Cricetulus griseus: one gene and its partners. The protein of the gene in region 2 purifies or fractionates together with the protein of the main gene of each other region. This does not show direct contact. Links are inferred from orthologs where the notes say so. Each region holds a gene or a part of one and is shown on either strand. Other genes may lie near its edges.

Region 1 (3,748 bases), on a different chromosome or scaffold from region 2:
ACAAACAAATAAATACAAAGATAAAGGACAACTGCCCAAGGACAAAAATTAAATGTTTACTCGGTAACATTTTAGAGGGACCAATGTGACGGCTCAGTGGGTAGAGGTGCTTGCTGCCAAGCCTGATGACCTGAGTTCAATCCTTGATACCCACCTAATGAAGGGAAAGAACTAACTCCCACATGTCCCCTGACCTCTACAGGTGTGTTGTGGCAAGCACAAGGCCGCTCCCAAACAAATAAAATGTAATAGAAAAATCTAATTAAATCCAGTACAAATATCAAGCCTGAGGACTTGAGTTCAATCCCCCACCCACACAGTGGCAGAGAAATGACTCCCACAAAATATGCAAGAGCGCCTGTATACACGTGCGTATATACACATACACACACATTTCAAAAATAAATAAAGCTTAACTCTGCCTACTAAATATATTGTATGATCTCCTAAAAAAGTCAGCATTCTCTTTGGGTCTTGTTTTATCATTGAGCCTTTATCTCTGTCTTCTGGGCTTTAGGACAGAGCTAAAAAAAATAAAATAAAATTTAGGGGTCATTACAAGACTCAAGCAAAAGCCGGGTGGTGGTGGCACACGCCTTTAATCCCAGCACTTGGGAGGCAGAGGCAGGTAGATGTCTATGAGTTCAAGGCCAGCCTGGTTTACATTGCAGGCCAACCAGGGATATATATAAAGTGAGACCCTGTCTTCAAAACCAAAACCAAACGAACAAGCAAACAAACTACCCCCTAAGAGTCAAGTAAGTAGATACAATGCTTGAGATACTCAGTGCAGAATAGAGATTCGGAAACAGGAACTTAGCACGGCCTGGTAGCCTAGGTCTGCAATTCTAGCTAATAAGGAGTCCAGGGCTATCTAAGACCCTGTTTCCAAAAATACAAAAACCATGTAAATATAAGACATAATTCTGTCAAGGATATAATGCCAAGTAAAAGAAACCTGTCACAAACCAGTCATTTCACTTCTTTGGGGCATCTAAGCAGTGGATGAAGAAAACAAGGTGTGGAGGTGATCAGTGTCAGTCGAGAGGCAGAAAAAGTAAAGATGAAAGAAAATGAAGCAGGGGGGTGATGGTGCACACCTTTAATCCCAGCACTTGGGAGTTTGAGGCCATCGTGGTCTACAGAGTGAGTTCCAAGACAGCCAGGGCTACAGAGAAACCCTGTCTTGAAAAGCCAAAAAGAAAAAGAAAAAAGAAAAGGCAATTGTTTATGGTGCATCTCGTTAAACCCAGGTACCTGAGGCCAGACTGGTCTGTGTGGTGAATTTCTGGCCACTGAGTCAACCTTCCCACCCTACCTCCTTTAAACATACTTACAGGGAGACAGAAACTGTGTGGTTGACTTTGTTAGCTTTATCTCTACTTACTCTGACCAAAAAAGAAAAGGAAGGAAGGAAGGAAGGAAGGAAGGAAGGAAGGAAGGAAGGAAGGAAGGAAGGAAAAACTTGGCAATTAATGCAAGCTCCCTGGCTCACTTACCCTGCAGGAGGTACTCCATCATGTTAATGGTGCCCCCAGTGACTGGCATCATGGTGACTGGAGGGGCCTCCATGGTGACGGTCAGGTAAACACGGGATACACCTGGAAGAGTCACACTTGTTTGTACACTGGAGCGGTTAGTAGCGTGGCTCCGGCACTGAAATCAAGACTCAGGCATTCAGAACTTCGCATTTATTTATACAGCCCGCTCCATGAACAGGCGACACAGAAACAAGGGTTCTGGCCACGGAGATACGGCGTAACCTTCTAATCTCAAATTCTGAACCCTCTAAGTTTCCTAGGTAATCTTGAGGCAGCTGTGCAACCTCTTTTTCTGGAACTTACTCTTTTAAATAAGACTAGGGGCATTTAACCGCCCAGCCTCCCTCCCCCAGCTACGTGGCTCAAACGAAACAACCGACATACAACTAAATTCAGAAAAAGTAGAGTCACCTTTAGGCTACACAGAGGCCCCGTTTGCAAACATAAATAAAAGCTGGCCGTGCTGGGGCACATCTGTAATCCTAACGCTCGACAACAGAGTTAGGAAGACGGCTGCAGGTTCGAGGCCAGACTGGTCTACCTAGCAAGTTCCGGCCAACCGGGGAATCGCAGTGAGACCTCTAAAAACCCAAAACAGAAGATCCGAAGGCGACCTAAGGACCTTCACCCTAGGCGGACGCCAAGGAGACTCAGGGAGAGGCGCCAGGGTACACGGGGGTCCGCCTGGAACAGGGCTCGGCCTTTTTCCCCTTTTCAAACGAGCCAGGCGGGAAGCGTGACTAAAGTGACGGCACCGGTCCTCCCACGCCGGGATCCCGGGCACGTGTGCACTTACACTAGCAACACGCCTCCGTGCACGCCGCAGCTCCCCGCGAAGCTGGAATTAAGTCCACGCTTGCACACTCGCACCCACAGATACCAAAATCCCGCCAGAGAAGATGCAGGCATCCGCCTTCCGCACTTCCGGCAGGAAGCTGACGGACAGGAAACCTAGGCCCTGAAGCGCCGAGAAGTAAGGGTGCCGAGAGGGCCAGGAATGAGCCTGCCTCCTGGCACCGGGGGCAAGAGCGCATGTGCGAAGTGCGGCGCTGCCTTGCGAGGGGGTCCTGGTCTGGAGCGGTGCGCTGGGGATAACTGCAGGGCCTTACGTCATAGGGCAGCTCTAGGATAAGTGGCGCTCTCCCCCACAGCTCCGACGACCTGGGTGTCTTGATCAGATCTCTCCAAACTGATTGGATACTATGTTTAAATTGTGAACTGAGCCACTGGGGAAAGAGCCGCATTGATAGCATCAGATAGCTCAAGGTGACAGAGGTCTGATGCGCTCCCCAGCTAAGCACAGCGTTGTGCCTGTATGGGCCTCAGTGCTAACACTGAATGTTTTGTGTGTTTTCAAAGGTCTGGAGAAATAGCTCAGTGCTAGACCCTTTCCCTGGCCTGTGCAAACTTAATACAACAGCAAACTTGTATAATTTCCTGTACAAACCTCAACTTTACGTACAGGGAACCATGCGGGGCGTTGGTGACGCACGCCTTTAATCCCAGCGCTCCCGAGGCAGAAGCAGGCGGATCTCTGTGAGTTCGAGGCCAGCCTTGTCTACAGAGTGAGTTCCGGGACAGCCTCCAAAGCTACACAGAAAAAACCTGTCTTGAAAAACCAAATAAAGGAATGAATGAATGAATGAATGAATGAATGAATGCAGGGGACCAGGCACAGTCTGAATCAGAACTCGGAAGGCTGTGGTAAGAATCTCTCCAGCAGAACTGTTCAAGACTTAAACAACATTGTGAGACTTTTCAAAAATAAATAAATAGGGGAGAGGCTCAGCAGTTAAGAGCACTTGCTGCTTTTTTTTTTTTTTTTTTTTTTTTTTTTTTTTGGGGGGAAAGGTTTCGAGACAGGGTTTCTCTGTGGCTTTGGAGGCTGTCCTGGAACTAGCTCTTGTAGACCAGGCTGGTCTCGAACTCACAGAGATCCACCTGCCTCTGCCTCTGCCTCCCGAGTGCTGGGATTAAAGGCGTGTGCCACCACTGCCCGGCTTTTTTTTTTTTAATCATTTTTAAAGATTTTATTTATTAATTATGTATAGAATATTCTGCTTCCATGTATATCTGCACACCAGAAGAGGGCACCAGATCTCATTACAGATGGTTGTGAGCCACCATGTAGTTGCTGGGAATTGAACTCAGGACCTCTGGAAGAGCAGGCAGTGCTCTTAACCTCTGAGCCATCTCTCCAGCCCTCT
Region 2 (3,748 bases):
ATCTCCAAAGGTGTCTAATCTCTTCTGGCACACTTGGTCCAATTTCAATAGGCCATTCCATCCTCCATTCTCCCCCAAGACTCATGAATCCACCCCTTAGGTGGAGAGGTACTGGGCTAGAAGAAAACCCTACAGTTTCCTGCAGTGAGAAACATTTTTCTATCAAAGACACTTAGTCCCACAAGGACTTATAGTATGTCCTGAACCCTGCTTCCCCTTTGGGTGACTAGCTCATCATGTTATATTGTGAAGTTGTGTTCCCACCAATGGGATGGAATGCAGTCACCATCTAAGTAAGAGGTAAAGGCAGTGGGCATTTTAATGAGTATTTTTGCTCTCTTGGTTTGGGTTCTGGTACACTCACTTTTCAAAAGGAAATCACTTTGTCAAATTTCACTTTGTCTGTGTTCCTTTATGCAACACTGCAATCATTCTTTTCCCAACACTTTCTCCACTTCTTCTGTTTGGGACACTCTCTGCAGCTCAGAAGAAAACAATCCTGAGACCCATAACTAAAAACCTCAAAACACCTCCAATATTCCATTTCTGAAGATCTGGCTCCAAATGCCCTTCCCAAGGCAGCTGAAGTCAGCAACATCCCTGCTCCACTTGGGATTTGCCACTGTGAACTTCACATTCCTGTTCCTTTTTTCATGACTTATTTTTTACTTTATGTTCACTGGTGTTTGCCTGAATGTATGCCTGAGGGTATCAGAGCCCCTGGAACTGGAGTTACAGACATGTGTGAGCTGCCTTGTGAGTGATGGGAACCAAACCAGAGTCTTCTGGAAGAGCACTGAGCACTCTTAAGCACTGAGACGTCTCTCCAGCCCCTTCCTGTTCCTTTTTGAGCTCTTTGCCTCTCTTTACTGGCATGGGGGTTGAATAAGGACAGATGGCCTCTCCCAGTTGACAGCTTTCCTAATTTCTTGTCTAGAAATTTATAATACAGCTTCCATGTCATATTTTCCTTGGGAAAACATAATATCTATCAGAAGTCCCCCGCTTTTGCTTATACACATAAGTATATGGCACCTGCTAGATGCAGACTAAATGCTTGAAGAACGGTTAATTTTTCCCTCGGCAGCCATGTGGAACCTCGGCAGACAATGTGTTTGTATGGTGTGTTTTGCTGTCGCCAGTCAGGGGCCCTCCTGGAGGCTGGCAAGACACAAAGAAGCGTAGGTCCTTGTCATCAGGATGCTCGCTGCCTCAGAGCCCCATTTTCACACGGCGCTCACCGGCGTCATCCGTTCTTCCTGCCAGTCCCAGGGCGGGGACTGGCGGGGGGGGGGTCCTTGTTGGTGTTTTGACCCTTCTCTGTCATGCGAACTAGAAAAAGATGACTGAAATAGGTCCCCTACTCCTGACTGCTTAATTTAGCCGTCTGGATACCAGTCGCCTAGCAACACTTGCCCGCCTACGCCCAGCGCGCAGGCTCAGACCCTTTCCCCACCCGGCCTCCCGGGCGCACATCTGTGACGTAAGCATCCAGCGACTCTCGGCAGTACCGCACGCCTGGTACCATGGCTTCCTCCGGGGTGACCGGTGGGAGACAGGCCGAAGATACACTGCAGCCACCGCCCGAGCTGCTGCCGGAGTCCAAGCCGCTGCCGCCGCCTCAGCCTCTACCGGTCGCCGCGCTCCCGCCGCCGCCGGCTCCGCGCCCTCAGTCCCCCGCAGGCGGGAAGGAGGAGAATTACTCCTTTTTGCCGTTGGTTCACAATGTCATCAAATGGTAAGGGCCTAGGAGAGGTCAAGACACCAACTTTCCCGGCCTCTGGTGTTGCTGGTTCGGTCCGAGCAGCGGAAGCCAGCGCGCTCTGAGCCACGCCCCATTTTCCCAGAGGAGCCGCACAGTCGCCTTTTGAGTTCAGCCACCTCCCAGGCCTTGAGAGTTACACTGTGCATCCAGGTGAAGCTCACATACTGAGCAAATTCACAGGTTCTACGGTGCACTCCTCTTGTTCGCATCCCAGACCCCTCAGCGTCTTTGGGATGGGTCTCAAGTCCTTACACATATAGTCTGATGGCAACTTTTGTTTTGTTTTGTTTTTCGAGACAAGGTTTCTCTGTAGCTTTGCAGGCTGTCCTGGAACTCACTCAGACCAGGCTGGCCTTGAACTCACAGAGATCCACTTGCCTCTGCCTCCCGAGTGCTGGGATTAAAGGCATGAGCCACCACCACCTGGCTAAAGGCAATTGTTTTATTTTTCTTCCAGACAGTGTTTCTTCCCTGTGTAACAGCCCTAGCTGTCCTGGAACTTGCTTTGTAGAAGCAAGCCTAGAATTCAGAGATCGCCTACTTCTGCCTCCCGAGTGCTGGAATTAAAGGTGTATGCCACCCCTCCCGGCTACCTAAAGGCAATTTTATACAATTGACTGTTCATATGAAGCCTAGTGTGGGATTTTCCATTTGTAGCATTATGTGGTCCCCTTAAGAGTTTTCGAATATTTGTGGATTTTAGATGTGAGATTCTCACCTTGAACACAGTTCCCGTTTCAATACTAGGCAGTATCTTTACTTGTGTGGCACTGTTAAGTACTGTGGATGAACACTGGAAAGGAACCATCAGTTTACCATCACAGTAAGAAGCAGAGCAGAGAAAAACAAACATAATAGTCTATGATTTTTACAACTGGAGAGGGGTGGAGTGATGCTAGAAAACATTTGAAACAAAGACACGGAAGTTGCTCCAAATGATTATGTCCCACCCAGTATTAACTTTCAACAGAATATCCAAGGATGTGGGTGTTACCTTTCTGACCCAGAGTCTCCAGTCTCCAATCTGGCTTACATTTTTTTGTTGTTGTTGTTATTTCCATATACAGTTGTGTCACTTCCAAGAGGTGACTTGTCCTGCAAACATTCTCATCTCAAGTGTGCTTTGATAAACTTAGGTGGTGCAGGACAGTTACTCCATGGGGCCTCTTGGTGCTGTCAGGATTCTTGGTAACAGCAAGAGAGTGTTGGATGGCTTGGTGGGTGAGACTACTTGCTTGCTGTGAAAGCAAGACAATCTGAGCCTGAATCCCCAGCATCCACATAAAAAGCCACTCATGGCTGCTCATACTTGTAGCCCAGCATTTCAGGGTAGAGACAAACAGATCTTGAGAGCTCTGGCCAGCCAGCCTGGCTGAAACCGAACTTCCATTCATCATGTGACCTTGTCTCAAAGCAATAAGGTGAAGAGCAACAGAAAAAGACAACCTACCTTAGCACGACTGCCTGCACACTCAGCAGGCATTCACAGACACAAATAGCAACCCCAACGCACATATAAGGCATACCACACATACATAATAAACAAAAAAGAGTCTTGGCAGCATGGGACGTATGAAAGTTGCTGCTGGTATATTAAGACATTCTGTTAAAAGGGGGGTTTTAATTATATATTTGTTTGTTTGAGAACAGGGTTTTTGCTACAAAGCCCACACTGCCTTTGACCTTTTGATCCTCTTATCGCAGCTTCCTGAGTACTGGGGCTACAGGCGTGTACCATTACACCTAGCAACTGTGAATCTCTTAGTAGGAAGGAGTGTGCTTTAAAATCATAGTAAAAAGTTCATTATAGTAAATGCATAAACTAGTGACATCACTATTTATATCCTTATCAAGCATTAGGCACTACCTGTAATTGTATATGCTATACTTTCATATATCTGGCAAAATTATTGTGGGTTTTTTTTCACAATAGTGTAAGTGATGCATTCTGATGCAGTGTTACCACAGCTACTGTGTCACTAG
Region 3 (3,748 bases), on a different chromosome or scaffold from region 2:
CATAGTGGTCGTATACAGTTCTCACTCTGTTCTGCCAACCAGCCTCCTTACCTCCACTCTCTGATTCTCGTTCCTCTTTGCTAATTTTCTCCAAAAGGTTTGAGCACATTTTATTCAAGCTCTGGATCTGCTTCTGCAACACACAGGAATTGATGTAGTGATTAGAAATGACTCTGGGAAAGCATCTTCCTTGTGCTCTTCCAAAGGCAGCCTAGCTGTAACCAACCACAGACTCCTACTACCCAGGCTTGGTAAAGTCTTGCTTCTTATGAAGGGATGGGGATGGGGCAGCAGGGCAGTGACTCAGTCCAACCTGAGCTGCATCAGCACCAATTCTGGCAGCATCTGTTGTCAGCTGCTTCTCCTGCTCTTCAACTTCAGGGTCAGGCTTGGTTCTCAAATGGTCAGGGACGACCTCATGGCTGAAAACAGGCACTCGTCCTTCAGTCTGACGCTGTAACACAGATTGTATTGATCCTATTGTGCTATCCAAGTAAGCCGATTCTAACCCAGTTTCTCTTCCGTGGGAAACTGCATTTTTAGAGACAACACAACCTGAGACACAAATGTAGCTTTCTGTGGCTTTGTCTTTTCACATACACTCTATCAGAACTAGGACAAAATAAATTCCACCCTCCACAACCGCACTGTAATTTTCTTTTTGTTGTTGTTTCTATTTTGTTTTGGTCTTTCGTGATTCCCCACCCCCATTCTGGGGACCAAACCAGGACTTTTTTCTACCACTGAGCTAAATTCCTAACCCCACATTTTAAAGACTGATTGGACAAAGTTACAGGCAAGCAGAACAGACTTTTTTTTGGAAAAGAAAGGTCATGGACTTAGTTGACATGGCCTTGGCTTTCACAACATTATTTAAGAGTGACTCCTGACTCCAGAAGGACAAAAAAGCAAGTCTTCCAGATAGCAGCCCCTACTTTTCATTGCTATACAGAGGGTCCAATCAACAACTGTGCTCCAGACTTTCATTTAAGGACCTGATTTCCCTGGTTCAATCCTTTCTTCTTACCATGAGGTCTTCATCTCGATCTGGGGACAGCACCAAAGGGATGATGACCTGGTTACGGAACAGTGGTGTCTTCTCATGCTTTAAGACCTTGTTCAGAGTGTTCAACTGTCCAGAGAGCAATGCAAAGCTATCCAGGACAGAGGGCCTGCGGGTGGTAGGAAGTCATCAGAACTACTTTTCCCTATAAAGTAATCTCTAAAGTTCTAATGCTGGAACACCCAGACTCACCCCCAGAAGACTCACAGCCCTATGACTAGCCTAGGCAAGAACCAGATTTTCTAGCAGAGATGATGGAGTTGGGAAAGAGGAGCACACTGTCAATTTCCAACACGGACACACAGACGTAGAAAAAAAGCAACTCTTTTCCTTTTGGGGGGGTGAGGGGGCAGGGTTTCTCTGTGTAGCCCTGGATGTCCTGGAACTCACTCTGTAGACCAGAATGGCCTCAAAATCACAGAAATCCACCTGCCTTTGCCTCCTGAGTGCTGGAATTAAAGGTGTGTGCCACCACTGCCAGTCGTAACTCATTGTTTGAATGGGATTGGAGGTAGTGGAAAACAGAAACTGTGGTTACACTGTGGTAACTAAAAATTCTTTAAGTGGATAAAAGCCTCCTTTCTAGCCTAGTTAACAGAATCCATCATTCCAGAGTAGGGTGGATCTCAGATTCAGCCACATCTGTGGAAGGAGATCCAGCATGAATATAGCTTTAATGGTTCCCCACTGGGGGAACACCTCCTCACCAAAGAAGTCAAAGCGTAAGAATTAAAACCTCGAAACAGCCTACGTTGGGAAACTGGGCATTTCTCTACTTCCTTGCCATGGAGGCTTTAAGCCAAACTATACTTGTCAATGTTGGGCAACCTAGTTCTTGCCAAATCAAAAAGGATATTTGCAAACTGATAAATAGTTACATCATTGGAGATGTCCTGTCAGCCCGGGGGCTTGGCCCCACCACCCATGGATTCCCTCCCCGGCTTGCCCTGGCAATCCTTACCAAGTCAGCCGGTCATACTCGTTTTCCAACTTGTAAATGAAACTCCCCAGTGAATTCTTCAGATCGGCCACTTGATTCAGCAGTGCATCTAAGGATGCCTCAAGCTGCTTCTCCTCCCTCTGCATCAACAGTATGCTTGGTTACTCAGATACGAGCGATCGTGGCACATACAGAAAAGCTAAATTGGTTTCTATCTTGGTATTTGGGTTACAGACAGCATCAACCCTTAGACCTTTCAACCTGTTCACCTGGCCTGAAGTCCTCTTACCAATTGATTCCTTCTATCAACCTCCTACACTATGGCCCTTCAAAAGGAACATTACACCAGACCTAATTCCCTTCTGCTTATGACCTCACCATTTTGTCTTCATAACAAAACTGGCTTAGAACTGTTTATCACTTAGCCCTTCATCTTTTCACTTCGATTCTCTTCTCCTCCCAGCTCAAAAGACTGCCTCTCTTAAAAGCCAACATTCTCTTAATCTGCAGATGCTCAAGCCAAAGCACAATCTTCTTTGTTAAGTCTAGCCTTTTCTGGAAAACAGTCTGCCTACCACGCAGCTGCTTGATGTCCTAACTCTGCTTTCCTTGGGCATATAGAGAATCCTTGTATTGTGTCATTCTGTGGAGTTGGTATTGCCACATTTCTTTCAGAAAGTTCAGTACATGTTAGAAAGGTTTGCCAAGGTAACAGGGGTGCTGTCGGCATATAAGGCCAGAAGGCACACCTGAGGTTCATTATCTCATTACCTCATGGGTGCCTCTATAGTACATGCAAGCCATTATCCTCTGCCCTGTGAGTGCAGCTACTCTCAACACAATCTGGAGAATCTCACATTTTGCCCGTATCTGAGGCTGTCTCTGAACACCAGCTCTGCAGCTCCCCTCCCCAACTGGTCCTTTGCTGAGTCAATGTGTACTCCTGCATCTCTGTGCCAGTATTCCAGTGTCTCTTTCGTAAACTCGGGTGACCCATAAACAGTCACTGTAGGAATACCAGGTGCAACAAACTGAGTAATGGAAGACAAAGGCGAGGAAACCAACACATTCTTTCTGGACGTTAGACAATTTTAAATGCTGTGTTGGCAGAGGGTTTCCGTTTGACCATCTGTGGTCTATTTACTCCACTTCTGCGCCCTAAGCAACGGGGTACAAGGCGGGAAGAATGACACAAAGCTGATTTGCAAACCCGAGAATGTGAAGGATGAGGTTGGATACTAGGTTCCACCCACAGCCTCGGATTACAAACTGCTTAGTTTTCGTCCTTGGCGGCCCACAATCCCTTCAGCCTTCTGAAGCCTTGTTGCGCCTGTGCCCAACAGTCGAGGTCGAGGGCTGTCCCAGCCCACTTCTTTCTCTAGCCTTCCCAAATGCCAATTCGATCCTTTCACACAGTCAAGCAAGTCGGCCGTGCCTTTCCCCCTAACCCACGCCTCTGACCCTCTGGCGTTAGCGCGCTAAATCCCCGCGCCCCCCGCAGCTGTCCTCGTCCCTTCCGGCTTCGCCGCCTTTCCCCAAACAGCCGAGGCCTCTGCCCTATCCTCACAGCTCCAACTTCCCAGAGTCCTCGGCCCGCCCACCCTCCAGCCGGTGGCTAGCGGCTGGGAGGCCCAACCGGCTTCTCACCTGCATTGCCACGGCCCGGTTGGCGCAACCACTTCCTCTTCCGGTTTCTCGCGCCGCCGTCTGTGCCCACCAATCAAAAAACTCAGAACGCGGCCATC

What was found. The genes of interacting proteins can lie anywhere in the genome.
Region 1: the proteins of Med9 (region 2) and Med18 purify together in Homo sapiens (affinity purification with mass spectrometry; 6 studies listed by BioGRID and IntAct, counting the BioPlex papers as one, with this or other methods). This does not show direct contact. The link is inferred for Cricetulus griseus from reciprocal best matches to the Homo sapiens genes MED9 and MED18.
Region 3: the proteins of Med9 (region 2) and Med8 purify together in Homo sapiens (affinity purification with mass spectrometry; 5 studies listed by BioGRID and IntAct, with this or other methods). This does not show direct contact. The link is inferred for Cricetulus griseus from reciprocal best matches to the Homo sapiens genes MED9 and MED8.

What each region holds. Positions count from the first base shown.
Region 1 is NC_048595.1:20,800,237-20,803,984, reverse strand, and holds the start of Med18 (mediator of RNA polymerase II transcription subunit 18), read right to left. Parts: upstream 2,492-3,748; 5' UTR 2,338-2,491; intron 1,657-2,337; exon of another isoform or gene 1,602-1,656; 5' UTR 1,573-1,601; coding exon 1,500-1,572; intron 1-1,499. UniProt on the Homo sapiens protein: Component of the Mediator complex, a coactivator involved in the regulated transcription of nearly all RNA polymerase II-dependent genes.
Region 2 is NC_048600.1:74,064,606-74,068,353, forward strand, and holds the start of Med9 (mediator of RNA polymerase II transcription subunit 9), read left to right. Parts: upstream 1-1,490; 5' UTR 1,491-1,526; coding exon 1,527-1,738; intron 1,739-3,748.
Region 3 is NC_048595.1:33,902,797-33,906,544, forward strand, and holds the start of Med8 (mediator of RNA polymerase II transcription subunit 8), read right to left. Parts: upstream 2,823-3,748; 5' UTR 2,808-2,822; coding exon 2,775-2,807; intron 2,144-2,774; coding exon 2,025-2,143; intron 1,173-2,024; coding exon 1,028-1,172; intron 455-1,027; coding exon 314-454; intron 134-313; coding exon 52-133; intron 1-51. UniProt on the Homo sapiens protein: Component of the Mediator complex, a coactivator involved in the regulated transcription of nearly all RNA polymerase II-dependent genes.